Stegostoma tigrinum: one gene and its partners. The protein of the gene in region 2 purifies or fractionates together with the protein of the main gene of each other region. This does not show direct contact. Links are inferred from orthologs where the notes say so. Each region holds a gene or a part of one and is shown on either strand. Other genes may lie near its edges.

Evidence for each region.
Region 1: the proteins of structural maintenance of chromosomes protein 1A (region 2) and sister chromatid cohesion protein PDS5 homolog B purify together in Homo sapiens (affinity purification with western blotting; 8 studies listed by BioGRID and IntAct, with this or other methods). This does not show direct contact. The link is inferred for Stegostoma tigrinum from reciprocal best matches to the Homo sapiens genes SMC1A and PDS5B.
Region 3: the proteins of structural maintenance of chromosomes protein 1A (region 2) and usp13 purify together in Homo sapiens (affinity purification with mass spectrometry; 5 studies listed by BioGRID and IntAct, with this or other methods). This does not show direct contact. The link is inferred for Stegostoma tigrinum from reciprocal best matches to the Homo sapiens genes SMC1A and USP13.

Annotation. Positions count from the first base shown.
Region 1 is NC_081359.1:81,956,627-81,967,515, reverse strand, and holds the start of sister chromatid cohesion protein PDS5 homolog B, read right to left. Parts: upstream 4,928-10,889; 5' UTR 4,810-4,927; intron 4,766-4,809; exon of another isoform or gene 4,454-4,765; intron 1-4,453. UniProt on the Homo sapiens protein: Regulator of sister chromatid cohesion in mitosis which may stabilize cohesin complex association with chromatin. May couple sister chromatid cohesion during mitosis to DNA replication.
Region 2 is NC_081402.1:3,136,747-3,147,602, forward strand, and holds the start of structural maintenance of chromosomes protein 1A, read right to left. Parts: upstream 5,163-10,856; 5' UTR 5,062-5,162; coding exon 4,953-5,061; intron 1,112-4,952; coding exon 923-1,111; intron 1-922. Other genes in the region: RIB43A-like with coiled-coils protein 2, read left to right, coding at 5,906-6,022, 8,558-8,639, 9,825-10,169, 10,782-10,856. UniProt on the Homo sapiens protein: Involved in chromosome cohesion during cell cycle and in DNA repair. Central component of cohesin complex. The cohesin complex is required for the cohesion of sister chromatids after DNA replication.
Region 3 is NC_081367.1:37,018,213-37,028,874, forward strand, and holds the start of usp13 (ubiquitin carboxyl-terminal hydrolase 13), read left to right. Parts: upstream 1-6,199; 5' UTR 6,200-6,348; coding exon 6,349-6,459; intron 6,460-10,662. UniProt on the Homo sapiens protein: Deubiquitinase that mediates deubiquitination of target proteins such as BECN1, MITF, SKP2 and USP10 and is involved in various processes such as autophagy, endoplasmic reticulum-associated degradation (ERAD), cell cycle progression or DNA damage response.

The DNA of each region.
Region 1 (10,889 bases), on a different chromosome or scaffold from region 2:
TTTCCAACCTAGATATTGGCTCAGGCTTTGGAATTCAAAAGAACCACTATTCAAATCAGTAAACAAGCAGGGACCACAAACTGCAGTTGAGGAAAAAAAGATAAAATGAGGCACCTAACAATAAGGTAGGTGCAATCTAAATGTCAATATCCCTTTACAGCACACGTTATTCTAAAACTTTGAAAAAAGAAAGTCATGCTTTGACATATTAGCTCTGGTACAAAAAAAATCTTCTTGGAAAGATGCAGAGATCGTAATGAGCTTGACCAGTTTATTACACTCACTGCGGTATAACTCAGAAGGAAGAATTTACTACAAATTGAACATTACAAATCTTCGGTGTGTGAGAAAGTATTTCACAGCTAATTAGTTATTTTGAGCTCTTGTAATTCTCGTTACGGGGAAAATCAGCCTTGTACACAGCCACGTGCCACAAAAACAACTGCATCAATATTCTAGTGAATTGCCAGCCTAGATTCTGCGTATAAACCCCAGCACTGGACTTGAACACACCAGCTTCCAAATAGCGAAGAATATTATCTCTCTCTCTCCTCAAACCGAAAATTCTATTTCATCTCAAGATACTCAACTCAATCCTTGGGGATCGTGGCTTCCAAGGTAGCGAGTTAAACAATGTTGCACAGGCTTGGCAACAAAGTTACCTACTTTTTGGGTCTCTTGTCCACTTGTGTTTGGAGTGAACATTGAACACAAAAGTCAGGTTCCAACTTCTCATCCTGAAAACCATCCTCATTAGCTCTAAAAAAAAAGAAAAATTGCACGATTGCAGATCCTGATTAGCTCGTGGTCAGCTTCCCTTGAGTATTTTAATTAACTTCAACTACTTTAGAAATATGCAGTCAAAAAGTATTCTGCACTAGCTACTTGACACCACTTAAAAAAAGAAGCTCCAATGAACTCAAGGAGGTTGTTTCAAAACTCTGTCTTTTCCGTCCAATCAGCTTCGTCAAACCTTGCTTGGACAACTGACTAGAATCCAAATGTGGTACACTATCCATAAATGACAAGATGATTCTGAAGTTGAAAACTGGTAATCGGCATACATTTAAAAAGTAATTCAACTGTAGTCAACAGAAGTGAAACCATCAAGAGAGTGTGATAAGTTGGAGGACTGAGGGGAATCAAAGCATTCAAAAAGGATGAAGAAGTTGAAGAAAGATACCAGCCGGCAGCAGACTAAGTCTGTAAACAATTCAGTAGTACATAAAAAATTTCTGTAGCATAAGTGAGCAAAACTAAACATAGGTCCTTTACCAGAGGTAGAAGAAATTATAGTCAGAAGGAATGTGTCTTGGGCACAGGTACAAATAAAGACAAAGAATCCCAGAACTAGTGGGGAACCAAGGATCCAAAAGAAAATGAGGAGCTTAAGGAAATAAAAAATAAGTACCAGCAGAGAGAAATAATAACTAATAACGGTAAAGTTGCCAAATATTCTGGATGGGCAGCACCTAAAAAGAACTTTTAATAAATAAGTTACACAGTGAAGTATTAGGTTTTGATCACAGAATTCCCTAGATTCTAGAACACTCCCTGTTGAGTGGAAGAAAACAAACATAACCTTGCTATTCAAGAAGAAACTAACAGTTAACCTGGTATCAGTAGCAGCAAAAATGCAAGAACGTATTATTACTACTATCATTGTAACAGGGCACCTAAAAATCATAAAATCTGTGACTGCATTATCATATTATGAAAGGGAATTAGTGTTTTCTTTAGAACACAACGTCATGGTAGATAAAACAACATATATCTAGACTTTCAAGAAAAGTTGGCCAAAAAAAAAAGTTCTCACACAAAATGAGCTCCCTTGGAACAGGGGCAACATTTGAATGGACTGAAGTTTGATTAAAGGTCAGAATAGACCGGGGATAATAAAGGATTTAAAAGGTGGCACTCTGCAACTGAGGAAACAATGGGACCAACATTTGGGCTTCAGCTATTTTCAATCAATAATCAGTAAATTTGAGAAGATCAAAAGTAATATATACACATTTCTTCATGATATTTTCTCACCTAATTTTCTAAAGAGAGAGAAACTCGAATGTTGCAAGGGGTATGTGGATCAATTAAAGATGAGAGCAGGCAAGATCACAGCAGATGGAATACAATGCAATGAAGTTAGTCAAACTGGCAGCCAAGAGTAGAATTTTTTGAACATAGAAAAAAAACCTGCTAAATATTTGTATTCAGGGGAACCTGGGTAATTGTGTGCATGAATCACAAAAATTAATACGCATAACCAGCAAGTAGTTAAGTAAGCTAATGTTAGTCCCTATTACGAAATAATGGAGCCACAAGGGAAAATACATATCGCTACAATTACCACACTAAAATTAAGAGCTGGTGCATTTTAAGAGAATTAACAAGGCAAGGGAATAGTTTGAATAGTAGGACCCCAAGTAGTACAGAGGGATCTTTGCACGCATGTCCAGAGATTCTTGAAGGCAGCAGGACAGGCAGAGATGGTGGTTAAGGCAGCAAATGGAATACTTGCCTTTCTTAGTCAATATACTGACTATAACAGCAAACAGATTATAATGGAGCTGTAATTAATGTTGATTACACCACAGCCAGAGTACAGTGTGCATTTCTGATTACCACAATAAAGGAAGGATGTGACTGCACTGGAAAGGATGCAGAGGGGATTCACCAGGATGTTGCCCAGGCTGGAGTGATTCAGCTAGGAACAGAGATTAGATAAACTGGGGTTTTATTCCCTTCCAGCAGAGAAGGTTGGGTGAGGTTTTGTTTGGTGGTTACAGAACGCCAGTAGCCTGTTTGAGGTGCACCAACTAACTTCGGACAGGCACAGATAGGGAGAAACTTTTCTTCTTGGTCTACAGAGGCATATGTTTCAAGTAAGCAGCATGGTGGGTCAAAAAGGGAGGCTAAAGGTTTGTTGACCAGACGGATGGCGGATATCTGGAACTCACTACATTTTAAAAAAACTGAGTGGAGACAGGAACTAAAAGCATTTAAGAACTATTTAGATGAGCATTTGAAATAAAGCATACAAGGCTTTATCAGCCAAGTGCTGATGGAAAATAGGATTAGAACAGATCTATGTTTTAATGATCTGTGCAGACACAAGGGGCCTTTTTCTACCTTCTAAAAACTCATTTCAATTACATTCATAATATAACATCTGGAGTACTATATACAATTTTAGTCTCCTTATTCAAGGCACAAGGAACAAGGAACAATGCTTCAGAAGAAATGTAAAAATTCACAAAATTAGTTTCTACAATGGGATGGAGGAGAATTATCTTCAGATGTCAGACCGAAAAGATTAGGCCTATGATCACCAGGCTTTCAACATTAGAAGTCATCTCAAAAGCATAAACATTAAGTGACTTCGCAAAGTCAATTCTGGAAAATGCTTTCCTGGTTGGGTATTGTAGAAATAGGGGTCAGCCTTAGAAACAGTTCACCACTTACACTGGAGACAAGATTGCCTCAACTCCAACAGGTTGTGAACATTTAGAATCCTCCAGAGGCACGTGATTTTTGGAAACTGACAAAATGAAGGAATGTGATTATAATGCAGGATGGATATTGGTGCAGGTGAACAAGTTCAAAAAGGACAAAACAGCTTAGCCTTTCTCTTTTAACATATGTTCCTACAACACACTCTTGACAGGTATCTTTCTACTGTGAATGTATGGGGTCATAACCTGCAACACCATCATCACAAAGGACAGGAAAATCTTAAGTTAACTACTATGATTGATTTGTTTACACAATAGTTTTGTACTGATCTTTAAAAATAAAAGCACTTTCCTCAAATTCAGAGCAAATTATTTAAACTATCAGATTAAGGAAAGAATTTAAATACAGCTAATGTACTTTTGAAGTACAGAAAAAAACTAGCAAGTTTTTTTGGTACAGTATTTCCCCCACCCTAATTTGTCTCACTCTCAAAAAGACAGCAAAATTGGGCACAAAAGATCTTGCCCAGAAGGGTACTTTTTAAAATGTTGTCAAACCATGATAAAACTTCTTTTTAAAAGAAAGCACCCAAATGACTGACGTTTTGAATAACAACGGGGAAATAATACTTGCGCAGCAAAACCTGTTAACCCGTTGAGGATCAAGAATGCTATCAGTGGGACGAAAATGACAAATTCTAAGAACACGGCGATTGCATCAAAAATTTGCCCTGAACGTTGACAGCCACCATATACAGGCTGCTGAAAGCAATTGTTGGGGGGCGGGGGTGAAGAAGAGAAGACAGGAAAAATACATATGTGGACGAGCTCGAATACGTCAAGTTCTAGGCCAAAGCAAAAACATGAGTACTAGCAGGCCCCGAAATCTTGCAAACTCAACCCTTACGAGAAATTAAGCATCCAGCAGTTACACTTCAAACGCCATTATTTTCCGTCTTTACGGTCCCCACACAGAGAGGCGAAGAATCAAGATTTCTCACCAGGAGTTACAGCAGAAACCAAAAAGGCTTTCACCCCGCCCGCCAAGGTCCAGCAGCCAGGATTACCCACTCTGCCGATCGCTGAAAACAAAACCACAGCGGGGAAAAGCATCGCCGACTGAGTGAAGGGGGCGGAAAATAAAAGGCAGAGCGAGACAGAAAGAAGCCCAGGCAGAAACGGGCATGTATGGAAAGCCGAGCCGCCACACCAGACGGTAAATACCCATAAATCCGGGGTCGCCAATACAACGAAACGCAGAAATAAAAACCACCAGCAGTAGCAGCAACAACGTGTATACATATACAATACAACGACAAAGAAGATCCGCAAAATTAGTGACGGTTCGTCTCCTCACCCGTGTGAGAACCCCAGACTAGTCCGGTCCAGTCTAATTCTTCAACCGCCGCTGCCTCTGCCGCCTGCCCCTAGAACGCTTCAAAATGGCGCCAATTTGTCTCCGGCTGCACCAATGAACGGAGAGCGGGGGAGGGAGGCACGGAGTCACTGACACTGTCAACACTAGTCAACTCAAACCCACAAACCCCAAATCCAATTCCCACTAGAGCACGCTGGGACAGAGAAGTGGAGTAGGGCACCCTCCAGACGCAGTGATTTTCCTCGGGGAGTGGGCTCGAAAAGCGAAAGGAAGAGAGAAAGGGGAACAAGGTCGACAACAGACGTGCTCCTGCTCTCTCTATCTATCTACATATCTCTATGTCTCTCCGTGCACGGTAAATGCGACAAAAGACATACATCGTAGTTAAAGAATTGCAGCACCTCTTAGGGGTGAATTAATCAATATACAGCCCCCGAATACGAATTGATTGAGAGGGGGTGGGGGTGAAGAACCGCGGCCCGCCTTATTCCCGGTTTGGAAGTGGTGCAGCGTTAATAAAAGTTTAGCCGAAGGAACTTCAGGACTGGGATACGGTCTAGTGGAAAATTGAAGCAAGAGCATCTCCAAACGTCGAAAATAAGGCATTACAAGTTTTAAATTAAAAAAAAATCCAAGTACAGGGTTCCGTGAGATACAGAATCGCAAGATTTTGATTTAAAGTTTTGATGACTTGATTCATATTTTGAAGCTGATTCCAACATTTTCACAACTCGGAAACATTGTTGGATATAACGGCAGAAAGTGCACGCCGACAGGAACAAAAACATATGGGTTATTTGTTGTCAAGTAGGCTTCAATTTAAACATTAGTAAAATCTTAAAAGTTTTTATTGCTTATGTCACAGAATGCGAGGTATTTTTGAGAGAATGTTAACGTAAAGCAAAGCATATGTTCAGATTACCCTGTAATTATATTTTTAAAACTCTTAAAACCCCCTGTATGTCACACCAATTTGCTCTTTGCACAAATTTTTTCCATTGGTAATACATACAGAGTAAGGGTTGACTACTTAATAATAAGAACAAATTACTATATAAATGCAAAATATTGTGGATGTTGGGAATCTGAAACAAACAATATATTTTCTGAAGCAGGCTCCAGACCCGATATGTCAGCTTTCCCACTCCTCTGATGCTGTTTGGCCTGCTGTGTTCATCCAGCTCTACACCTTGTTATCTTTATTAACATTTCCAGTCTTGAGCCCTCTTCTGCAGAACTGGACTACACTTAACAAATTACTATATAGTTACTTTTAAGAAAGTAAAACAGTTACTTTGACTTTGAATGAATCTTACAACTCAAGACTGAGCATCCACCAGACGCTGCAGGCCATCAACTGCAGAAGAATTATACTCCAGGACAATCCGCAACCTCATGGACCAGCATAAAAAACCAGTGGATCATCCCTGATTCAATGGAGAGTACAGGAGAGCATGCCAGGAGTAGCACCAGGCATACCAAAAAGTGAGATAACAAGGTGTAGAGCTGGATGAACACAGCAGGCCAAGCAGCATCTTAGGAGCAGGAAAGCTGATGTTTCGGGCCTAGACCCTCCATCTGATGTGCCATCTTGTTGTACTGTTTGGCATGCAAATGGTCCTGATTAGTGGCTTCACCACATTGGCACCTCATTTTTTGATATCAGAGATAATAGGAACTGCAGATGCTGGAGAAATCTGAAAGCACTGGAAAATGGGATTAAATATTTTGGTGGTTGTTTCTAATTGACATGGACACAATTCGGTGGTGTAGACCTCAATGACTATGATAGTAAGTGGGTTCACATAGTAGTGCCACGTTTGTATTTGAGGCATACATTTCTGGCAGAGCTCAACATGGAACACACAGCAAAATTCAGTACAAAATCTCTAACAAAAGAATTTGTTTATTGACTTGAGCTTGACTGTGATTTGGAATCAAAGGCAAAATAAACCTTCAAATATTTATTTGCAATTGTGGTCACAGTCAACTTGTCCGTTTCAAAGAGTCAATGCATACTTTCATTAAAATGTATTACTGCTCAGCAATAGCTACTCAAAATGGATCAAAATAAATAACTGGGTGAAAACATTTTTGCTAAAAACGTACAATCGTTGACTTATGGCCCATCTTTATTTGTCACGGATTTTCTGAGGAGCTTTTCAGATAATAGTCCTCTGTTGTGTTCTATTCTGTAAAAAACAATCCTGAAGCAAAATAGCATTAAATAAATCCTTACTTCTCCTTACTTTTCAGTATCAAATGGAGCAGCCGAAAGATTTGTGATAACACTCAAAAAACAAGCAGAGAATAGGTGATTAAATTTCAAAATGAAACAGAGTTGACTAATTTTCTCCTGAAATGTCAAACAACTTCACACCCTACCACAGGGTTTGATAAGGAGAAAGTTAAGGATACTTTTGAGTTTGGTTCTACCAAATTTGACTGGTACCCTTGAACACAAACAGTTCAGTCAAAAGATGTCAGCACAATGTAAACAAAAGAGAGAACAGTTTCAGGAAAAATGACTATGTTTACATTCTGAACCTCTCTCAAAGTCTCAGATGTGAGAAATGTAAGACAAGTTTACTGAACTAAAGGATACTTATTTGATATAACGGAAAGATTGGATTTTTTCATGTAGATCAAGAAATCTTAATGATTGATTAACCAAATTATGAACATGATCCATTTGGTCACAAGTTCATGTCTGAGTGTGAACCAGTTCAGAGTTCTCCCTCTGAAGTGCCAACTTCTGAGGAAGAAACAAGATCTTTTGTGAGTACCAACCAAAAAGCCTAACCAAAATCCTAGCAGAAATGAAAGAATAGCTAGGATGAATGCGTGGCTTGAGAGATGGTGTCGCAGGGAGGGGTTCAGATTTTTGGGACATTGGAACTGGTTCTGGGGAAGGCGGGACTATTACAAATTGGACGGTCTACACCTGAACCAGACTGGAACCAATGTCCTTGGGGGTGCTTTTGCTAATTCTGTGGGGGAGGGTTTAAACTAATGTGGCAGGGGGATGGGAACCAAATATTGGACAGAAAAGAGGTAGAAACGAAAGCCTGTAGGGAACTAGATAATGGAGTCAGTGTGACTAAAGGGAATAGTAGTCGGAGAGCAGATGATGAACACAAAGGGACAGGTGAACTGAGGTGCGTTTGTTTTAATGCGAGAAGTGTAGTAGATAAGGCAGATGAGCTTAGGGCTTGGATCGGTACCTGGAGGTATGATGTTATTGCTATTACTGAGACTTGGTTGAAGGAAGGGCATGACGGGCAACTAGTTGTCCCAGGATATTGATGATAGAGAGGGAGGTAAAAGGGGTGGAGAAGTTGCAGTAATGATCAAAGACGATATCACAGCTGCACTGAAGGAGGGCCCCATGGAGGACTCAAGTAGTGAGGCAATATGGGTAGAACTCAAAAATAGGAAGAATGCAGTAACAATGTTGGGGCTGCACTACAGGCCTCCCAACAGCGAGCGTGAGATAGAGGTACAAATATGTAAACAGATAATGGAAAGGTGTAGGAGAAACAGGGTGGTGGTGATGGGAGATTTTAACTTTCCCAACATTGACTGGGATTCACTCAGCGTTCGGGGTCAAGACGGAGCAGAATTTGTAAGGTCTGTCCAGGATGGTTTTCTAGAGCAGTATGTATGGAGTCCAACTCAGGAAGGGGCCATACTGGACCTGGTGCTGGGGAATGAAACCGGCCAGGTCGTTGATATTACAGTAGGGGACTACTTTGGAAATAGCGACCACAATTCTGTAGGTTTTACAATACTTACGGACAAGGATAGGAGTGGTCCTAAAGGAAGAGTACTAAACTGGGGGAAGGCCGACTATACCAAGATTCGGCAGGATCTGAGGAATGTAGATTGGGAGAAGCTGTTTGAAGGTAAATCCACATTTGATATGTGGGAGGCTTTTAAAGAGAGGTTGATTAGCGTGCAGGAGAGACATGTTCCTGTGAAAATGAGGAATAGAAAAGGCAAGATTAGGGAAACATGGATGACAGGTGAAATTGTGAGACTAGACAAGAAAAAAAAGGAAGCATACATGAGGTCTAGGCGACTGAAGACAGACGGAGCTTTGCAAGAATATTGGGAATGTAGAGCGAATCTGAAACGAGGGATGAAGAGGGCTAAGAGAGGACATGAGATATTGCTGGCAAACATGGTTAAGGAAAATCCCAAAGCCTTTTATTCATATATAAAGAGCAAGAGGGTAACTAGAGAAAGGATTGGCCCACTTAAGGACAAAGAAGGAAAGTTATGCGCTGTTTCAGAGAAAATGGGTAACATTCTTAACGAGTACTTTGCATCGGTATTCACCAAGCAGAGGGACATAACAGATGTTGTGGTTAGGGATAGATGTTTGCTTACTCTAGGTCAAGTTGACATAAGGAAGGAGGAAGTGTTCGGTATCCTAAAAGACATTAAGGTGGACAAGTCCCCAGGTCCAGATGGGATCTACCCCAGGTTGCTGAGGGAAGCGAGAGAGGAAATAGCCGGGGCCGTAACAGATATCTTTGCAGCATCCTTAGACACTGGTGAGGTCCCAGAGGACTGGAGACTTGCTAATGTTGTCCCTTTGTTTAAGAAGGGCAGCAAGGATAATCCAGGTAATTATCGACTGGTGAGCCTGACATCAGTGGTAGGGAAGCTACTGGAGAAGATACTGAGGAATAGGATCTATTCCCATTTGGAAGAAAATGGGCTTATCAGTGATAGGCAGCACGGTTTTGTGCAGGGAAGGTCATGTCTTACCAACTTAATAGAATTCTTTGAGGACGTGACAAAGTTGATTGATGAGGGAAAGGCTGTAGATGTCATATACATGGACTTCAGTAAGGCATTTGATAAGGTTCCCCATAGCAGGCTGATGGAGAAAGTGAAGTCACATGGGGTCCAGGGTGTGCTAACTAGATGGATTAAAAAACTGGCTGGGCAACAGGAGACAGAGGCTAGTAGTAGAAGGAAGTTTCTCAAATTGGAGACCTGTGACCAGCGGTGTTCCACAGGGATCTGTGCTGGGACCACTGTTGTTGTGGTGTATGTAAATGATCTGGAGGAAGGTGTAGGTGGTCTGATCAGCAAGTTTACTGATGACACTAAGATTGGTGGAGTAGCTGATGGTGAAAGGGACTGTCAGAGATTACAGCAGAATATAGATAGACTGGAGAGTTGGGCAGATAAATGGCAGATGGAGTTCAATCTGGGCAAATGCGAGGTGATGCATTTTGGAAGATCAAATTCAAGGGCGAACTATACAGTAAATGGAAAAGTCCTAGGGAAAATTGATGAACAAAGCGATCTGGGTGTTCAAGGCCATTGTTCCATGAAAGTGACAACGCAGGTCAATAGGGTGGTCAAGAAGGCATATGGCATGCTTTCCTTCATTGGGTCGGGTATTGAGTACAAGAGTTGGCAGGTCATGTTGCAGTTGTATAGGACTTTGGTTCCACCACATTTGGAGTACTGTGTGCAGTTATGGTCGCCACATTACCAAAAGGATGTGGATGCTTTGGAGAGGGTGCAGAGGACGCCCACCAGGCTGTTGCCTGGTATGGAGGGTGCTAGCTATGAAGAGAGGTTGAGTAGATTAGGATTATTTTCATTAGAAAGACGGAGATTGAGGGGGAACCTGATTGAGGTCTACAAAATGATGAGGGGTATAAACAGGGTGGATAGCATAAAGCTTTTTCCCAGAGTGGGGGACTCAATTACTAGGGGTCATGAGTTCAAAGTGAGAGGGGGAAAGTTTAAGGGAGATATGCATGGAGAGTTCTTTACACAGAGGGTGGTGGGCGCCTGGAACGTGTTGCCAGCGGAGGTGGTAGACACAGACACGTTAGCGTCTTTTAAGATATATTTGGACAGGTACATGGATGGGCAGGGAGCAAATGGACACAGACCGTTAGAAAATAGATGACAGGTTAGACAGAGGATCTTGATCAGCGCAGGGCCTGTTCCTGTGCTGTAGGTTGCTTTGTTCTTGTTCAAAAAGCCAAATAATCCAAAATGACTCAACACCGAAAGCCATAAGGAGA
Region 2 (10,856 bases):
ACACCACTAGTCACAGGTTTCCAATTGAGAAACTCCCTTCTACTACTACTCTCTGTCTCCTGTTGCCCAGCCAGTTTCTTATCCATCTAGCTAGTACACCCTGGACCCCATGTGACTTCACATTCTCCATCAGCCTGCCATGGGGAACCTTATCAAACGCCTTACTGAAGTCCATGTATATGACATCTATTGCCCTTCCCTCATCTATCATCTTTGTCACATCCTCAAAGAATTCTATCAAGTTGGTAAGACATGACCTTCCCTGCACAAAACCATGCTGCCTATCACTGATAAGCCCATTTTCTTCCAAATGGGAATAGATCCTATCCCTCAGTATCTTCTCCAGCAGCTTCCCTACCACTGACGTCAGGCTCACCGTTCGATAATTACCTGGATTATCCTTGCTACCCTTCTTAAACAAGGGGACAACATTAGCAATGCTCCAGTCCTGTGGGACCTCACCCGTGTTTAAGGATGCTGCAAAGATATCTGTTAAGGCCCCGGCTATTTCTTCTCTCGCTTCCCTCAGTAACCTGGGATAGATCCCATGCGGACCTGGGGACTTATCCACCTTAGTGCCTTTTAGGATACCCAACACTTCCTCCCTCCTTATGCCAACTTAACCTAGAGTAAGCAAACATCTATCCCTAACCTCAACATCTGTCATGACCCTCTCCTTGGTGAATACCGATGCAAAGTAATTGATGGAAGATGGAATTGCCAAGGATGCACCACACTGTCAGAGGACCAACGCCAAGGGAGCATTACACCAAGGGGGTGCTGCTTTGTTGAATGTGTAGTACAGGGATGATGTGTAACCCGCTCTACAGTGTTGCACCAATCCTGTGCGGAAACTAGAGGTCAGTATCTGTCTAACCCAATGCGCAAACAAATCCCACGGCTTCCCTTGTCTACTACTCACCCACAATGACCCTGGTGAACACCTTATCATCACCAGAGTCTTCGGTATACACCATGCTGACCAGGGCGCGGTTGGCTGCTGGCTTTCCCACTGGGGCACCATGGATCAGGTCCTTCAGCGTCTTCACCCTCAGGTTACTCGTCTTCTCTGCCAATACAAAGCTGATGGCATCCATGAGATTCGATTTGCCTGATTGAAAGGGACGCAGATCATCATTACTCTGTACTACACAACAGATTAAAGGCAGAGGGGTGAGCAGATCAACGAAACAACTTAGAAACAACGAAATGAGTGTAGAAGTCAAATTTCAAATTGTAGCGGGAGGCTGGGACTAGAGGTGGAGTTGGGAGGAAATCAATGAGACAATGATAAGTCCAAACAGGGAATTTTGCAGAAATACCTACGCCCAGAGAGTGGGCAAGAATGTGAGATTCAACAGGGATTAATGAGTTTCAAGGAGGAGAAAGGGGAGGAAGCTGGATGAAAACACAAGGGAGAAAGGAATGGATGGATACGTGCATGGGCTACAGGGGAGGGTGATGGTTGATGAAGTAGGGGGTGGTAGGCGGCTCACGTATACAGGGAAACCCACTGTGGAGAGATAAAAATCAGGGACCCATAAGAGGAAAAACAGTGCAGAAATCCAGGAGGGCTACACCTCTTCTGCACCTCACCAGTGCCAGTGCATCCTTTTGCAACTAAGGAGACCAAAACTGCACATAGTGCTCCAGACGTGGCCTCAACAGCACCCGATACTCCATTCTCCCAGCAACGAAGGACAATATTGATTTGTCTTCTTAACTACTTGCTGCATCTGCGAACCAACATCTTGCAATTCATAAATCCAGAGACGAAGATCATCGTGGTGCCCAGGGAGTAGGGAGGAAAATCGATCAAGGGGATATGTTGGGCACATCCACCTCAAACCAGTTCTTCAGCTTTTTAACTAAAAGCAGAAAATGGTGGAGGGCCGGCAGGTCTGGCAGCATATGTGGACAGAAAGTGTGTGATAATGTTTTGAGTTTGTTAGGACTGTCCTTCAGAAGTGAAAGGGTGGGATAATGGTGTTTTCTTTAAACTGTCAACCAAGGAGGGAGAGAAGTGAGTGAATCAAATGGTGAGGAGACATCAAGCAAAAGACAAAGGGAATGCTAATGGTGGGAGAGAAGGGATAAAGATGTACAGTAGGTGAGAAAAATTGCAAGGAGCAAAATGCAAACAAAGCACTGGAGAAAAGAGGCAGGTTACAATCAGAATGTTGCGTAGAAAATCATGCCCTGAAGTTGCTAAACTCAATGCTAAATTCTGAAGACGTAAAGTAGCCAAGCAGAAAACAAGGTGTCATTCCACCAGAGGTAGTAAGAACTGCCGATGCTGGAGTCAGAGATAACACAGTATGGAGATGGAGGAATACAGCAGGTCAGGCAGCATCAGGGGACCAGGAAAGCTGACATTTCAGGTCAGGACCCTTCTTCAGAAAATCAAATTTTCAGAAGGGTCCTGACCCGAAACATCAGCTTTCCAGCTCCTCTGACGCTGCCTGACCTGCTTGTGCTTCCCCCAGCTCTACACTGTGTTATCACTGTCATTCCACCAACTTGTGTTTAGCTTCACTGGGGCACATTAGTGGGTTTAGTGTGGAAACATTAGCAGAGGGACAAAATGGTGCATTGAAATGGCAAAACAAAAGTGGCAGCTCATTGTTATAGCTAGGGCGGAGGCATTGCATAGTCTGCACTTAGTCTTGCTGTTGTTAAGAGGGGATTCTTAGATTGCGAGCAGGACCTTGACAGACCAAAGCGAAAGAAGTACCTGTAAAGCTCCCAAATGCCATTTCACCCCAAACGTGCATTTGAGACCAGTGAGTGTTTTGCGTGCGTGTTAGTGTGGTGGTGGGGATGGTGGGCGAGGCGGCAGCAGCCCAAGTCAGAACAGCAAGGGCCAAACCTTGCACTGTCAGGTAGAAAATTGCCATGAGCGTCCACAGAAGTGAGGGAATAGGATGGTGAGGAAAAATGAGAAGTGACAGAAGAGTGGACTGGGACACGGTGGAAGGTTCACTCCTTGCTACATGTAGCCATGTCCCTGAGTTGCAGTTCTCTGCAGTCTTCCTCCATTTAAATGATACAGTCTTTATGTTCCTCTTTCCAAACTAAACAACTTCACATTTTCCCACATTATATTCGAGCCGGGAAGGCACAGTGTGGGATTATAGGCTTTGAACATAAAACTATACAGCACAGGAACAGGCCCTTCGGCCCACAACGTTGGGCTAAACATGACATCAAACTAATCCCTTCTACCTGTCCTTGGTCCACAGCCCTCCATTCCTTGCTCATTCATGTGCTTATCTAAAAGCACCTTAAATGCCCCTTTCGTACTTGCCTCCACCACCAACCGGGACCATGTTCCAGGTGCCTACCACTGTAAGACTTGCCCCTCACATCTCCGTTGAACTTTCGCCTTTTCACCTTAAATACCTTCCCCCTAGTGTCAGGCATTTCAGCTCTGGGGAAAAGATTTTGTTCACAAACCCTATCTATGCATCTCATAATTTTACACCCTTCTATCAAGTCTATAATCCTCAGCCTCTGCCACTCCAGAGAAAACAATCCCAGTTTTTCTAGCCTCTCCCTAAAACTCATACCGTCTAATCCAGGCAGCATCCTGGTAAAACACAAAAATGAAATTTGCTGGAAAAGCTCAGCAGGTCTGACAGCATCTGTGAAGGAGAAAACAGAGCTAGCGTTTTGGGTCCGGTGACCCCAACCAGAGGGTGAGTAGTTGTTAATGGGGACAGTTAGTGCCTAACAACAGTGGGTGTGTAACAAAGCCTGGTGTGTAGGGTGGAGGGGCTGGGACATGGGAGAGTTTAGGCGCTAAAATTATTGAACTCCATTATTGAGTCCGGAGGGACGTAGGGTCCCCAAGTGGAAAATGAGGTGTTGTTCCTCCAGCTTGCGTTGGGCTTCACTGGAACACGACAGAAATGTCTAGGTCTGAAACGTCAGCCTTAATGCTCCTCTGATGCTGCTCGGTCCTGCTGTGTTCAGCCAGCTCCACACCTTGTTATCTCAGATTCTCCAGCATCTGCGGTTCCCACTATCTCAGAGACAGAGATATTGGCCAGGGAGCAAGGGGGTGCGTTGAAGTGGCAGGCACCAGGTAGTTCAGGGTCATTTTTGCAAGTAGAACGTCCTATCCATCCATGCCGACTGGAGATACTAAATTAACCTTTCTCCCATCTACCAGCATTTGGGCCCTATCCCTCTAGACCCTTCCTTTTCATGTCCCCATCCAGACGCCTTTTAAATGTAATTGCACCAGCCCCCACCACTTCCTCTGGCAGCTCGTTCCGTACAGACTGCACCCTCTGCGTGGAAATCTTGCCCCTCGGGTCCCTTTCCCCCTCTCACCTCAAACCTATGCCCCTCTAGTTTTGGACTCCCCCCACCCCCTGGGGGAGAAGACCTCATCTATTCACCCTATCTGTGCCCCTCGTGATTGTCTAAATCTGTACAAGTTCACCCCCCCTCAGCCTCTGACGCTCCATGGAAAATAGCCCTCAGGCTCTCCCTACAGCTCAAACACACCAAACCAATCTTCAGAAACGTTTTCAGATCTTCCCCCAAACAATAAGCTTTCTCTGCTCCAAAACAGTTTGTCTCTGCAGAGCTGAAATATTCCATTCCCAGGCAACATATAACAATATATAATGTATATTATATAGGTCAGCACAACATCGTGGGCCGAAGGGCCTGTACTGTTCTGGTTGTTTAACGTCCTGATGAATCTCCTTCATCCCCAGCTCCTCCTCTCTCCCAGTGTTTTATTTTAAGTGTAATTTCTTATGGATATAGGTTAAAAAAGTAAAAATGTTGATGCTGATGGAAAATTCTCCACATTTTGACACTAAATGCCGAGGTAAACCAGGGGCATTATTTCCCCTGCCCCGAGTTGGTGGAGAGGGTTAAACAAGGGGGAAAGGAGGTGGAGGCCTAGCACCAAGCCTCGGCCTCGATTTCCTCACCCGAGCCATTCGGACCGATGATAGCCGTGAACTTCTTGAAGGGCCCGATGATCTGTCGGCCTTTGTACGACTTGAAGTTCTCGATCTCGATGAGCCGCAGGAAGCCCATGGCGTCGGCGACCAACAACAACCGCCGCTGCCCAAAATAACAATCGAGGCTTTCAGCGAACAGTAGGGCCTCCCGCCTCTTGGAGGGAAATGGCGCTCGGCACGGCCTCCTGGGATTTGTAGTTCCCTCCCTCGTCAGGACCTTGGAAGCCAATGAGCGGATGGACTACAACGCCCAGAGTGCCGTTCGAAAATAGGCGCATGCGCTAGGCATGCCTCGGAACGAGAACTACATTTCCCGATGGAGCTTGCGCCGCGCATGCGTTGTCCGGTATCCGCATAGCCCGCCCTCCAGGTCTTCGCATTCTATTGGCCGCATGGATGAGGGGATTCGCCTTCCGATTGGTCGAGGGGTATGTCAAGCATTCAGATGGTGGGGGCAGGTGGAATGTTCCATCCCATTCAGCTCGGAAGTGGGGGGGGAGTCAAATAAATCCAAAGTTTCAACATAGCTATCCTGGTTAGAGGGTGGCTGTACCGCACTGACTTTTACTGGGATCTCATGTTCTGACAGGCTGTTGCAATTCTCCAGAGCGGTGAGAAGTGGTGGACGTGTCGCTTTGTGAAGAATGGTTGGTTCACCCCCCACATCTCGCAATGTTCGCTTGTTGCTATGGCGACCCAAAGCGTCCCCCCACCATTGTTTGCTACAGTGGCCAAGTTAGCAACAATTTGTCTAGTGTTTGGGGAGAGCACTCCTTCTGGGTGTCTTCGTGAATGAATGGTGGCTGGCCACCTACCCAGGGGAAAGCAAAGACTCAAACACTGCCAAAGTCCAAAGCCCACTGAAGATAAATATAATTTCTACAGATTAATCTGTTTCATACTGTGTGAACAGAGCCAACATGTACAAGTTGGACCTGCCCCTTGACCCCAAGGAGATTGCAGCCATCGAGCGGAGGAGAAACGCAGAGGCCCAGCGCCAGAGCCGCATTTTCAATGCCAGGCAGAGGACCATCGGGGTGAGCGACCCGACATGTTGGTGTGAGGGGCTGTTGGGCAGATGCCCGCGGGATCAGGGAGTGGTCTCCCATTTATCCCTTCCTGCCCTCTCCCTTAGGTTGGGGGGTAGGGTCTGCCAGCTCGTTTTGGCTGATTTGTGATGCCTACATCATGGCTTCAATTCCCACGCTGCCTGAAGTTACCATGAAAGAGCTCTGCTTCGTGACCTCTTCACCCCACCTGAGGTCTGGCGACCCTCAGGTGAAATCACCACGAGTTGTTTCACTGTCTCTAATGAGACGTCATGCCAATGGTCCAGTACGACTGTCACGACTTTACTAATGGTCTGAAACTTGCCCTCAATCTTTAAGAAGAGAGTAATTTATTGCCTTTATTCGTCAGGGCATTGAGTACAAGAGTCAGGCTGACATATCACAGCTTAGGAAGACTTTGGTTAGGCCACACTTAGAATATTCAGCTGCCACATTACAGGAAGGATGTGGAGGCTTTGGAGAGGGTGCAGAAGAGGTTCACCAGGATGCTGCCTGGATTAGAGGGGTTGAACTAGAAGGAGAGGTTAGTAAAACTGGGGTGCTTTTCTCTGGAGTGGGGGAGGCTGAGGGGAGACTTGATAGAAGTCCATAAAGTATGAGATGCATAGATAGGGTTCATAATCAGAATCTTCTTCCCAGAGATTAAATGTCTAAATCTAGAGTGCATGCATTTAAGGTTAGACGCAGAAAGTTCAAAGGAGATGTGAGGGGCAAGATTTTTTACACAAAGTGGTAGGAGTCTGGAACGTGCTGCCAGGGGTGGTGGTACAGGCAGATATGATAGGAGCATTTAAGGGACTTTTAGATAACCACATGAATATACAAAGAATGAAAGGATGTGGCTCAAGGGCAGGCAGAAAGGATTAGTTTAATTTGGCGTTTTGTTTGGCATGACATTGTGGGCCTAACGGCCCGTTTCTGTTCTGTACCGTTCTATTCTGTTGTAATTGGAGAGGAAAAATGTGAATTGGTAGCATAGTGGTAACATTTTTTGCTTCTGTCTTTACGAAAGAAACAAACTTTGTAGTGAATGAAACCTTTGAAGAGCAGGTGTTTTGGCTTTCATCAACAGGGGGATTGAGTTTAAGAGTCGTGAGATCTTGTTGCAGCTCTATAAAACTTTGGTTAGACCGCACTTGGAATACTGCGTCCAGTTCTGGTCGCCCTATTATAGGAAAGATGTGGATGCTTTGGAGAGGGTTCAGAGGAGGTTTACCAGGATGCTGCCTGGACTGGAGGGCTTATCTTATGAAGAGAGGTTGACTGAGTTCGGACTTTTTTCATTGGAGAAAAGGAGGAGGAGAGGGGACCTAATTGAGGTATACAAGATAATGAGAGGCATAGATAGAGTTGATAGCCAGAGACTATTTCCCAGGGCAGAAATGGCTAACACGAGGGGTCATAGTTTTAAGCTGGTTGGAGGAAAGTATAGAGGGGATGTCAGAGGCGTGTTCTTTACACAGAGAGTTGTGAGAGCATGGAATGCGTTGCCAGCAGCAGTTGTGGAAGCAAGGCCATTGGGGACATTTAAGAGACTGCTGGACATGCATATGGTCACAGAAATTTGAGGGTGCATACATGAGGATCAATGGTCGGCACAACATCGTGGGCTGAAGGGCCTGTTCTGTGCTGTACTGTTCTATGTTCTATCTCTGCATGTGTAATCCAGCAGACCTGGACTGTGGCAGTTCATCGAATTTAAATTGAATAAAATCTCTAAGATTGTGAGCAGTCACACACACAGACACCATCCCAACTGTGAACAATAACGGACTGTACCTTCGTCGTCGCCGAGGTCAGAATCCTGGAACTCCCTCCCTAACTGGGCACTGTTCGGGGTGACCCTACACCACACAGGGACTGCAACAGCTCAAGAAGACACCTCACCCTCTCCTTCTCAAAGGGCAACTGAGATGGATGATGCTGGTCAGCAACACCCTTACCCCATGAATGAATACAAAAAACTCCAAACCTACAGAATATTATTTTCTTTGGGATTCTGAAGTTATGAAGAAGGGCCACTTGACTCGAAACATTAATTCTGATCCCTCTCCACACGTGCTGAGCTTTTCCAGCAATTTTTGTTTTTGTTTCTGGTTTCCAGTGTCTGCAGGTCTTTCAGTTTTATGTGTCATTTTTTAAGATCCAATACACAAACGTTTTCTGTACTTAGCAATGATTATTTTATGTTGTCCTGCATTGTGGTCTAACTGCAATTGACCAAATCAACCTGCAAACAGGGGCTGCCTGTCTTGTGAAAGGGGGGAGGGGGCGATTATTTGATGGGGCTATTCATAGGGTAGGGGGCCTGTTGGAGAAAGGAATGGAGGGACCCATCGATGAGGCTTAAGTAACATTGGGATGGAGGGAGTCCATGTGGAGCTAAAGTAGTGGCATGGGACAGATGAGCCGAATGGTCAGCCTGAGACCTGCCAGTTCTTCCTCTTCCTCTTCCACCGACCTCACGGCTGCTGCAATTTTCTCTTTTGCTTCTCTGTCAAGGTGGACACCCCGTTCCTGGATCAGCAAGTACTGGATAAGGCGGCAAGAGAGGACAGGGAACGTCTGCGGGACAAAGCTTTTGGTAATTCCTCCCATCCGCTGCTCTGCCCCAATACTCACACGAGACCTCGTCACAGCATGAAGCAGCAAGTCAATCTGAGAGAGAGCCAAACCCAAACAGGGATAGCGGAGCAAGGGAGTGCACTCCAAACAGTCTGATACAACAGTGTGTTTGCAGGACAGTGCAGAGAGAGCTTTACTGGGAATCTAACCCTGTGCTGATCCTGGGTGTGTTTGATTGAGACAGTGTAGAGGGTCATTTCCTTTCTGTTTAAAAGTATAGAGGCAGCTTTACTTATTCAGCTCAGACAGATTGCCGCACTGTCAGAGGGTCAGTGCCGAGGGAGTGCCGCACTGTCAGAGGGTCAGTGCCGAGGGAGTGCCGCACTGTCAGAGGGTCAGTGCCAAGGGAGCAGGCGCTGTCGGAGGTTCAGTGCAGAGGGAGTGCGGCACCATCAGAAGGTCAGCGCTGAGGGAGTGCAGCACTGTTGGAGGGTCAGTGCCGAGGGAGTGGGCACTGTCAGAGGGTCAGTGCTGAGGGAGTGGGCACTGTCGGAGGGTCAGCGCTGAGGGAGTGGGCACTGTCGGAGGGTCAGCGCTGAGGGAGTGGGCACTGTCGGAGGGTCAGCGCTGAGGGAGTGGGCACTGTCGGAGGGTCAGCGCTGAGGGAGCGGGCACTGTCGGAGGGTCAGTGCTGAGGGAGCGGGCATTGTCGGAGGATCAGCGCTGAGGGAGTGGGCGCTGTCAGAGGGTCAGTGCTGAGGGAGCGGGCACTGTCAGAGGGTCAGTGCTGAGGGAGTGGGCACTATTGGAGGGTCAGTGCTGAGGGAGTGGGCACTGTCAGAGGGTCAGTGCTGAGGAAGTGGGCACTGTCGGAGGGTCAGTGCTGAGGAAGTGGGCACTGTCGGAGGGTCAGTGCTGAGGAAGTGGGCACTGTCGGAGGGTCAGTGTTGAGGGAGCGCTGCACTGTCGGAGGGTCAGTGCTGAGGGAGCGGGCACTGTCAGAGGGTCAGTGCTGAGGAAGTGGGCACTGTCGGAGGGTCAGTGCTGAGGGAGTGGGCACTGTCAGAGGGTCAGTGCTGAGGAAGCGGGCACTGTGTGTTATTTAAGAGTGACCTTTGGCAAGACTTCCGGATAGAGAGTGAATGAGTAATCAATGCTGAACAGTGTATGTGTATGTCTTATTCGCCACCCATCCCCTGCGCAGATGCAGACAGCCTCCGCTATGACAAGACGGCCCAGCTCCTTGAGACACAGGAACAGGAGAGAGTCCGCCAGCTGAACCAGGAGGTGAAAGAATTCTGGACCCGGTACCAGAGGCCAGAGGACCAGCGGGAGTTCGACCTGTGGGACCCAGAGCAGCTGAAGAAGGACAAGCCGGCTCGGGTCAGTGATGATGACCCCCGCTGCGGACCCTCCAGTTTGCAGAAGTTTGAGGGCGAGGACCTAAACGAGAGGGCGCGCAAGAAGCTGCAGCAGCAGGAGGCACGCAAGTGGCTGACAGCACAGAAACTGGAGAAGCAGAGGCAGGAGCGTGACCAGAAGTTCGCAGGTAATCACACTCTCCAGTCCTGAAAACCTCCTCTCGATCTGCAAACTGATCCCCATTCCCCTACTCGACTGCTCCCTTCTGAAAGGTCCCGCTCAGCCCCCAAACCGATCTCCATTCCCCTACTCAACTGCTCCCTTCTGAAAGCTCCCGCTCAGCCCCCAAACCGATCTCCATTCCCCTACTCAACTGCTCCCTTCTGAAAGCTCCCGCTCAGCCCCCAAACCGATCTCCATTCCCCTACTCGACTGCTCCCTTCTGAAAGGTCCCGCTCAGCCCCCAAACCGATCTCCATTCCCCTACTCAACTGCTCCCTTCTGAAAGCTCCCGCTCAGCCCCCAAACCGATCTCCATTCCCCTACTCAACTGCTCCCTTCTAAAAGCTCCCACTCAGCCCCCAAACCGATCCCCATTCCCCTACTCGACTGCTCCCTTCTGAAAGCTCCCACTCAGCCCCCAAACCCATCCCCATTCCCAAACTGATCCCCATTCCCCTACTTGACGGCTCCCTTTTGAAAACCCCTGCTCAGCCCCCAAACAGATCCCCATTCCCCAAACTAATCCCCATTCCCTGGCTTGACTGCTCTCTCTCCTCCCTCACTTTCCTCTCTACAGATGACCTGTACCACAAGAAGGAGATGGAGCTCGACCGGAGAGCCACCGATCTTGCCCAGATGGAGGAAGATGCAC
Region 3 (10,662 bases), on a different chromosome or scaffold from region 2:
TTCTCAAGCATTTTCTCATTTGTTTCAAATTTCTAGCATTTGCAGTATCTTTCTTTTATTCCAGATAGGTTTAGTCTAATTTCTCTATGATTCAATTCTATCCCTCTTGAAATAATGCCTGGTATTTGGTTAGTTTATTTATAATGGCCTTGCTAATCTGTGATGCAATTTCCAGTGATTGGTGTATCTACAATCTGTAATCTGTTTCTCTACCCCATCGAGACTTGTACTTTCCATGTAAAAATTGGCCTCTCTACTCTTTCAATCAAAATCTATTACCTCACACCTACTTGTGTCAATTTGCCAATTATTTGCCCATTCTTTACATTTATTTATGGCTTTCTGCAATTTAATGGCAGACTTCCTCAATATTGACAAGCCTCCAATTTGGCATCATCTTTAAACTTAGAAAGTGAATTTGTTTATTCTAAATTATAAATCAATCCCTTTATCCACTTCTACTCTGACTCTACATTCTTTGAGCTTATTCATTACGAGCATCTTATTAAATATCTTTTTGGAAATCCAAAATTATATTGCTGCATCGTCTAGGCAGCATCAGAGGAGCAGGAAAGTTACTGTTTCAGGTTGGGTTGGGATCCCTCTTCAAAAATGAGGAAGGGGGAAGGGAGCTCCAAAAGAGAGAGGAGGGGTGGGGCTGGGGAAGGTAGGTAGGATGGTGATAGGTGAGTGCAAGTAGGCAGCAGTGGGGATTGGTCAGTGAGGTGGGAGGAACGGATAGGTAGGAGAGAAGGTGGACAGGTTGTGTCACCCTTATTGTTCAGTGGGAATGTCAACAAGTTCTGTCTCTGTTATATACTGAAGTAGAATATGAACATGAGTATACAAAAATAGCTAGACCATTTGTCCCATCATGCCTGCTCAGGGACTCAATATAGGTCATGTTAAATGAATTCTTTAATATTTCTGCTATCACTCTATTGTTATCTGTGGCACTATTCTTTTATTTCTTAAAAGCCCTATTCCTAGCTTTTCTTTTTTATTGCTGTGCATGTTAAATACTTATAAAATACATACTTTGTTTTGTGTTTCTTTATTATTCAATTCCGTAGTATCTCTTTGCCTCCTAATTTCTACATTATCTATAATTACGCACACCTCTGCTGTCTGTGTATTAATGCATGTCTCTTTCTGAAATGCAAATATTCCCTTCTCCATGGAGTCTCGCTGGTTTAATTTTGTTTTTTTTCAGAAAAATGCATTTTTCCTAGACCCCGCTACTGTACAAATGCTATGAAAAACAATAATTTCCCAATAATTATTTGAGATCTGATAGTGTTCAAACTTATGAAAGGAAATCACAGATGAGGAAAACCTACTTACAATGTTTGCCAATGGTAACTGAAGCAAATAAATATAAGAATATATGTAAAATAAACATGTGTTTAGGATTTTTTTTAATCATGAAGAGTTGTAAGTTGTAGAATGCCCTACTGGGAAAAAGATGCAAGCTACATGGAAAAAAAAATTACACTTGGTAAAGCACAAGTGAATGTACTTTGCCTGTGGAATTTAATCACATTCAAAACATCTGGAATCATTCTATAAACTGTGGTGGTATAACTGCAAGTATCTATGGAAGTATAAACTTCACAGACAAAAATGACCTTCCTCATGTTATATTTTTTCATTCGAGTTTTTGTACATGTGGCATTCACAACTGCCCAATCAATTAAAAACTAGATACAAAAGACCTAATTTGCAGTCAATGGATTCTTACCATTTGTGATGGTCATTTTGTGACTTTTGAGCTGTGAATCATATTGGCAAACTTATTGGACAGCTTTTCCCAGCATTATTTAAATGCAAATATGTAAACTTTATTGAAGTCTTGTTTGTTTTATTGCCAACAGGTTCTCAATTTTTCACTTTTGGAGCTGTTCCTTCCAGATTGCATATTTTGTTTTGTGTTCCTATATAATTCAATTCCATAGTACCTCTTTGCCTCCTAAGCTCTACATTTTCTCTTATTATGCACACCTCTGCTCTCTATGAATTGATGCATATCTCTTTCCTAAATGCAAATATTCCCTTCCCCATGGAGTCTCACTGGTGTTAAGGTTGTTCTTTGTTTCTTTAGTGAAATCATCAACCCCCATGGCAACTTGATTTTACAGTGCATAACAGTGTGTCTCACTGGTTTTCACCATATAGTACAGTGGTATAAAAACAACCTGATAATGACTTTCCCAGATGCTGATAATGATGAAGTAAACAAGTTTGTTTTTATACAGCAGCAATTTCTGTTGTTTATGTATTTAAAATTCATTAATTTTGTAATTGATGCAATATTCAATTGTTCGTTACTCATTGATTAGAATAGCAGCTGAAGCCTTTTATCTTCTATTAAGCAAAATTCGCTTTCCACATCATCATCAGTGTTGATTAACATGAATGAATTGTACAACAGTGCTGTGCATGAAATTGTAAATCTTCTAGAGATTTGCTGCCGCAATGAGGACAATTAAAGTAATATCAATTTGCTACAGTATCAATTTATTTTATTAACACTCCTTGTTCTCTTGTTCTGACTCAGAATGGATTGAAGGTCTACTCTTTCAATTCAAATGATTAGATAATTCAATTATTGCACTGAAAAATAAATTACTTTGACTTATCAGTAGACTGTATCAGAATCTAAATTATATTGAATCAAACATTAGTGTAGTGATTGTAATGAGGTCAGTCAGGAGGACCTCATAGAATATGAGTTCTCTGATTGGGGCTGTTAACCTGGTCCAATCAGGGAACCCTGGATGACAGACAGAAACAAGAGTATCAGAGGTATTGTTCACTTTGAGATCTGGCTCTGAGGAAGTCAACCCAGTGTCAGGTACTGCGCACGTGTAAATAAAGGGGGCTTGGTGAAGGGATACTAGCCTCTGTGGAGTTACTTCAATTAGTTTCTCACTTATAAACTGTACTCGGAATATGTTTCCACATGTATACTGACAACACCCATCTCCATTACATATATCCTCGCTCAGCTCTTTCATGGTTTCTTAATGAACTTCAAGCTAAATAACAGGAATCTCAAAACCATTGTCTTCATTGTCTATTCTTTAGCTACGAAGTCCATCAAAATTTGTACTTTTGACTAAGCTGTACTGCTACTCATAAGTTGGTATCTATATGATTCTAAGTTGAACTACTGATCACATAACCACTGCATCAAAACTGCCGTTTTTTTAAAATTGCTGCAAGGTTCCTCTTACTTCCGTTACCTCAGCTCATCTGCTGTTGAAACTATCATCCATGATTCTGTTATCTCTAGACTTAGTTGTCCCAAGGACTTATGGCTAGCCTCCTACTTTCCAAAAATGTTAGGTTATGTGAATCTCTTGCTGTCTGTATATTATACAAAGTCCTGTTCAACCACAACATTTTGAGTTTGTTGATCATGGTCTGAGAATGCATCAATTTTTAATTTTGCGCCTGTATTTTCAAATTCCTTTAGCGTCTTAGTATTCTCCTACCTGTTCTACAACTCTCTGAGATCTCTGTGCACTTCAATTGCTTTGCTTATCACTGATATTAATCATTCTACCACTGGTGGTTATGCTGTCAATTGCCTAAGACCTTAGGTCTGAAGTTCATTCACTAAACCAATTAGCCTCTTTCTCCATAGGGATGAATCCTAAAAGCAGTTTTTAATCATCCCTTGTACTACTTTCTTATCTGAGTTAGTATCAAGTTTTGTTTTGAAAGTCTTTTATTCCTGTGATGCACTTTGGAACCTTTACCACATTAAAGTACAGCACAGAAATTATATGTAACAGCTGAATCAGAACTGTTTCTGCAGGATTCTTTCTTGCATCCTTTGAAAATATTAAAAGTATTTAATTGATGACACTACCACAAGAATGATTGCTCTGGGCAGTAAATCTGTTTTGCAATCTAGATCTCATGTCAATTGCACATATGGTAAGAAAACAAAATATAAATTATAACCAGCACTTAACTGAATACATTTTATGTGAAAACTACTGGAAGCAGAAATATTATAGAATTTCATGAAAATAATTAAACAGAAGGTGGAGACTCCACAATCATTCCTTTCCTGGTATTTAATATATCTCAGTTGACCAGTGAACACAATGCTGAAATGCTTGCAATTGTCTTCAATGACAAGTGTTGAGCGAACGATGCATTCCAAGCTAAAACTGAAGGTCTCTGTATTGGAGATGCCAGTCTTTAGCCAATTCTATCAATTCTATTTACCCCACGTGATGTCAATGCAACTTCATAGACAAAGCATATGAGCCTTGGAAACATCCTCGCCATAGCACTGATGACTTGCACTTCAGGGCTAACCATACTCATAACTGAATTGTTCTACTAGAGCTAAAACACTGGAATCTAATCAACAAAGTGCAAATTATCCAGGTATGTCCTGTCCACAAAAGCAGGATAAATTCATTCTGATCAGATACCCCATCCCATTGATCTCCTGTCAAACATCAACAAAGTCCAACTCCAGGGGAGAGGCTGTGGAATTTTGAAATCAGTTGCTATATTGAAATATATGAGAGAATGGTAAAGTATGACTTGCCTTTTGCTTTTCTTACCTAAAGTCTAAATCTTGTGAATGATACAAAGAAATATCTTAAAATATCTCTGATTTCCTGAGTGTTCATCCATATTCCCACTTAATGCCATTCAAGGTATTACCTTCTTCAAATACAGATGTACTTAGAGAAAGATTTATTCCCTGCAATCTTAAATGGCTTCTTTACTTTGCAGATTAACCAGCTGTTAAGTCTTTATCTTGTCCTTTTCTTCTGTTTATCACCAAACTGGACAATTTAGATTTGAGGATTGTAAATAATCTGATTAGTCATAAAGTCATAACGCATGGAAACAGACCCTTTGGTCCAACTAGACCACACTGACCATATTCTCAATCTAAACTAGTCCCACTTGCCTGCGTTTGGACCATACCCCTCTAAACCTTTCCTATTCACATACTTATCCAAATGTCTTTTAGATGCTGTAACTGTACCTGCATCCACCACTTCCCCTGGCACTTCAAACCATGTACAAACCACCCTCTGCGTAAAAAGGTTGCCTCTCGTGTCCTTTTTAAAACTTTCTACTCTCACCTTAAAATATGCCCCCCAGTTTTGAACTTCCCACTGTCAGGGAAAGATCCTTGCTATTCACCATACCTTCTTTCATTTTGGTTTGTCCAGAGTATAAATTTACATTATATTTTAACACTGTGCCATTTTTCTATGCTTCATCCCTTGAAAACACAGATTACTCTAATTAACTTCTTCATTACTACATAAGGTATCTCAGCCAGAGTGTTGGGTACATTTCTGGGTGCCACATTATTGATGCATTGTGGAGAGAGTACAGAAGCTGTTTACAAGAACAGTTCCACAGATGAGGAACTTCAGTTAGATTGGAAAGGTTGGGACTATTCTCCCTGGACAAACAAGGCTAACATGAACTCTGACAGCAGTTTACAAAATCATGAGCAGGCTGGATAGAATCGAAAGGAAGAAACTGTTCCCAAATGTAAAAGGAACAAAAACTAAAGGACATAGATTTAAAATGATAAGTGAAAGAAGTAAGGATAATTTTATTTCACTCAATGAGTAATTAGAATCTGAATGCACTGTCTAGAAGTATGGTGGACGCATGTTCAATTGAGGCATTTTGGATAAAAGATAACGTGCAAGAATATGGGGCGGGGTGTGGCGAAGCCGGACATTGGAATTGGGCAATGATGCTCATTTAACCAGCAGGGATAGGTATAATGGGCTGAATGGCTTCCTTCTGCTCTGGGACACTCGTGATTATTTGTTCCGACATCCACCTTCTCAAACCAGTGTTTTCATTGTCGTCTCCTCTATGTTGAGCCCGATTTAGTGGGTCAGAGTGGGGAGTCCAGCCTGACCGGCTGAGAGTTTCCTGCATTTCCTGTCTGTATTTCGGAATTCTGGTACCTTTTCTCTCGTATTCTTCTCTGATGCCGGGTCGGCTGCGCTATCATTTGGCAATAAACTCTTGGAACTCATCTGCAAGGAAGTTGGGCGATTAATTGAGGACCAGCTCGAGGAGATTTGTTGAAACGCTGGTACTTTGCGATTGTTTATTGCCAGCTCTCTCTGTATAAGGTCCCTGTAATCTCCACCAGTGTCCGGGTTTTTTTTAAAGACGAGAGCAGAAGCGTCAGCAGGTCCGATGGCTGGAGGGAGGGCTGCGAGCTTGCACTGGGTTAAAAATAGTGTATCGTCCTGCAGTCTTTGCTCGCCCAGCTTCTGCTCACTTCGCTATCAATGTCTGCCCTGAACAGCATTCTGGGTTAGGAATGTCAACATGGCTGCAGACATCGGAGAACTGCTGGTGCCGTACATGCCAACCATCCGAGTCCCTAGATCAGGGGACAGGGTTTACAAGAGCGAATGCGCCTTCTCCTTTGACTCCCCTGTAAGTAGGCAGGCTGCCCTTTTGGGAGGGGGATCGCGCACACGGAAACTTTCTCGCTGGAAGTTTTCCACTGACACGTGAATGACTGCACAAACTAACGATGCTCCTCTGGATTTAGGAACCTAACTGATAGCGACAGGCTGTCGACAGTGTGGCAGTTCTGGACTTTGTTAAACGAAACAGAGAGAGACCGCAGCAACTCAGCAACCTAATGGGGCCAGAATGTAACAGAAAGCAAACAAAAAGTGTGTGGGGCTTGACATGTCAGTGGGCGTGTGATCCCGATCATTTAAACAGAACTAAGGAGGAAAGTCTTACAAAGCAAAGCGTCAGGAGTCAGCTAGTATTATGATTTGTCAGCTTTATTTGAACGAGTAACGTTCAATTTCAAAAAGCACTTTAAAAGGCAAGTTAAAAGTAAGGGACTTCTTAAATATGTTTTTAAAGAGTTATGGAAAGGAAGAGAATTAAAGTCAAAGGTGAAGGAAGATACTTTTTAAAATAACTTTTTAAAAAACTTTTGAAAATTCAAAAAGATGGCACATAGAAATGCTACTTTTGTTTTATCAAAATTAAATACAAATGTTAAAGTATAGTAAAAGGTGACTCAGCTGTTTGGCGTGCATCAACAGTGCCTGAGACAAGTTATTTATATACGGAGAGTTTGGGGGTCGCGGTATCGTATTTCTTTATTAATACACTGAAGGTTGTGTACTTCTTAGTTTAAAAAAACAATAAATTAATGTATTTACCAATTATTGATTTTGTGGTAGTGGTAATTTCGAAAATATTCTTAGTTAATCCTATGTTTCTTTTATTTGATATGTAATGTGATCACGGTGAAAATATAGAACGTGTGTTGCCCGCCATCAAGTGGTGAACGGGTATATGGAGCGCCTTCCCATCCCGGTGTAAAATCCAAGCCAGACCTTGTCATGGTTTGTTATAGTACTGTTTGAGTAGTTTTTATTTGCTGTTTCCTCTGAAGGCACAGAATTTTTTTTTTCATTATTTGTTCTTAAGACCAAACAAGTAGTCAGGAAAAACCTTCTAACTAGATACAAAAACAGAAATTGGTGGAAAAGCTCAGTAGGTGTGGCAACATCTGCGCAGAGTAACCAGAGTTAATGTTTTGGGCCCAGTAACCCTTCCTCAGAAGTGAGAGGGTGTAAATTTAACTTTAACTTTGTGTAAGTTATAATTCCAACCAACTGAGGGAGATCTGACAAAGGGTCACTGGACTCAAAATGTTAATTCTGATTTCTATCCACAGATGCTGCCAGACCTGCTGAGCTTCTCCTAGTAATTTCTGATTTTACAGCATCCACGGTTCTCACTATTTAGTTAAAAGGAAAACCAAGAGAATATGAAACTTGCTACCACAAAGGAATAGGTTAATGAAATATTGCACATAGATTTGAAAGAATTATTAATTGAGGAAATGTGTAAGTGTTTGGATTATTTAAAGTAGGAGGAAGTTCATACATTAACAATAATAACTTGCAGAAATGAAACTCCTTCAACAAAGTAAAACACCGTAATGTACAGGACAGAAGAGTTATTGAACAAAGTTTGATGCTGAGATATGTAGGGAAATGCTGGAGTAATTAACCAAAGGCATGGCCATGTATTTACAGACTCTCTTATAAAAGGGAGCGAGGCAAAGAAATTTGTGGAGGGAATTCTCAAACTTGGGTCTAGTTGACCAAAGACCTGGTTGTCAATAGCAGGCCAAATCAAAAAATGGAATTTGAGGTGTGTAGAGATCTTTAAAGTTTCATGGATTGCAAATTTAGTAGTTTTCTTTGTGTAAATCCTAATTCCAAGCAAAAAAAAATGCTAAAAAACTGAGGGCAAACTACATGAATTTAATGTATATTCCTGTCTTTACAGTGGGAGCTCATCAATTCTAAACTTTCATTAGATTTGTGTAAAAATCTCTACACCAGAGATAAAATATATTAAGGTTTTTTTTGCCCAAAGTGACCAATTTACACAATTTCGATTATAATATAGTGTAGGAACTTTGTAATGGAAAAACATTGGCACAGAATGTGGCACCAAGAAGTAATGTTTGGAAGATAGTTGATTACTTTGTCATAGAGTCATACAGCACAGAAACAGACCCTTTGGTCCAACCAGTTCGTGACCAGCATATACTCTTATTAAACTAGACCCACCTGGCAATTCCTGGCACATATCCCTCCAAATCTGTCCTATATGTATACCTTTCCAAATGTCCTTTTAAATGTTGTAATTGTCTCCATATCTGCCACTTCAGGATGTTCATTCCACATGCAAACCAACCTCTGTGTTTAAAAAAACAAATGCCTTTCATGTCTTTTTCTAAATAGCTCACCTCCTCTGACCTTAAAAATGTGCCCACTAGTCTTGAAATCCCCTATCTGAGAGTAAAGGCAACTATCGTTAACTCTATGAATGCAATACAGCTCAAGAACAGGCCCTTTAGCCCACCAAGCCTGTGTCGATTCTTATTCCTTATTTAAACCTACTAATTATTGCCCATCGGCAGTTTGAGTCCATCTGTTAGCCTCCCATTCGTATGTCTATCAAGATGCACCTTGAATGTTGCTAATGTGCCTGCTTCCACCACCTCCACTGCTAGTGCATTCCAGGCACCCACCACTTGTGTGAAGATTTTTTCCCGCACTTCTCCCCTAAACTTTCCCCCTCTCATCTTGAACCTGTGCCTTGTTGTTGTTGACTTTTCCATTCTGAGGGAAAAAGCCTATTACTACCTATGACCACCCTATCTATGCCCCTCATAATTTTGTAGAACTCTTACCAGCTCACCCCTCAGCTTCTGTTTTCACAGGAAGGACAATCAATCAGAGTTTATCTAACCTCTGCTGATAACTAAAACCCTCCAGACCAGGCAACATTCTCTCCAAAGCATCCACATCCTTTTGGTAGTGTGGCTAACAGAACTGCATGCAATATTCCAGATGTGATGTAACCAAAGTTTTGTACAGCTGTAACATAACATGCCAACTTTGAAATTCTATGCCTCGGTTGATGAAGGCAAGTGTACCATATACCGCCTTGCCCACCTTAGCCACTTGTGGTGCCACTTTCAGGGATCTGTGGACCTGTACACCCAGATTCCTTAATATGTCAATTCTCCCACGGGTTCTGCCATTTACTGTATGTTTCATACCTGAGTTTGATCTTCCAAAATGCATCACTTCATATTTGTCTGGATTAAACTCTATTTGCCATTTCTGTGTCCAAGTCTGCAATATATCTGTATCCAGCTACATCGTTTGACAATCCTCCTCACCACCTGCAATCCCCCCAGTTTTGGTGTTACCGCAGACCTACTAATAGAACCACCTAGATTTTTCCTCCAGATCATTTACATATATTACAAACAACAAAGGTGCCAGCACTGATTCTTGTGGAATGAGTCAAAAAGGAATAAAACTTGATAGACTGATCTGTTACTCAACTAGTCACTAGAAAAAAACCATGGCACACCTTGCACAGTTGATCCTGAAAAAGCCTCCCTCACTAGCATCCGGGCACATGCCAAAATTGAGTGTTGTCCCATAGAAAAGAAAACATTCAACACAGTTATACTCAATAAATCATATCTTATTCCTATATCACCATCTCTGGATATGACATGTCCCACTAGACTATACCCCTCATTATTTTATGAACTTCCATCCTGTCACCTCTCAACCTCCTACACTGCAGTGAAAAAAGTCCCAGCCTATCCAGCCTTTGTTTATCACTCAAACCTTCCATACCCAAGAGGGCTCTCTTCTGCACCTCCTCCAGCTTAATAATATTCTTCCTATAGCTGGGTGCCCAGAACTGAACACAGTATTCCAGTACACAGTATTAGAACATAGAACATAGAACATAGAACAGTACAGCACAGAACAGGCCCTTCAGCCCACAATGTTGTGCCGACCATTGATCCTCATGTAAGCACCCTCAAATTTCTGTGACCATATACATGTCCAGCAGTCTCTTAAATGACCCCAATGACCTTGCTTCCACAACTGCTGCTGGCAACGCATTCCATGCTCTCACAACTCTCTGCGTAAAGAACCTGCCTCTGACATCCCCTCTATACTTTCCACCAACCAGCTTAAAACTATGACCCCTCGTGCTAGCCATTTCTGCCCTGGGAAATAGTCTCTGGCTATCAACTCTATCTATGCCTCTCATTAT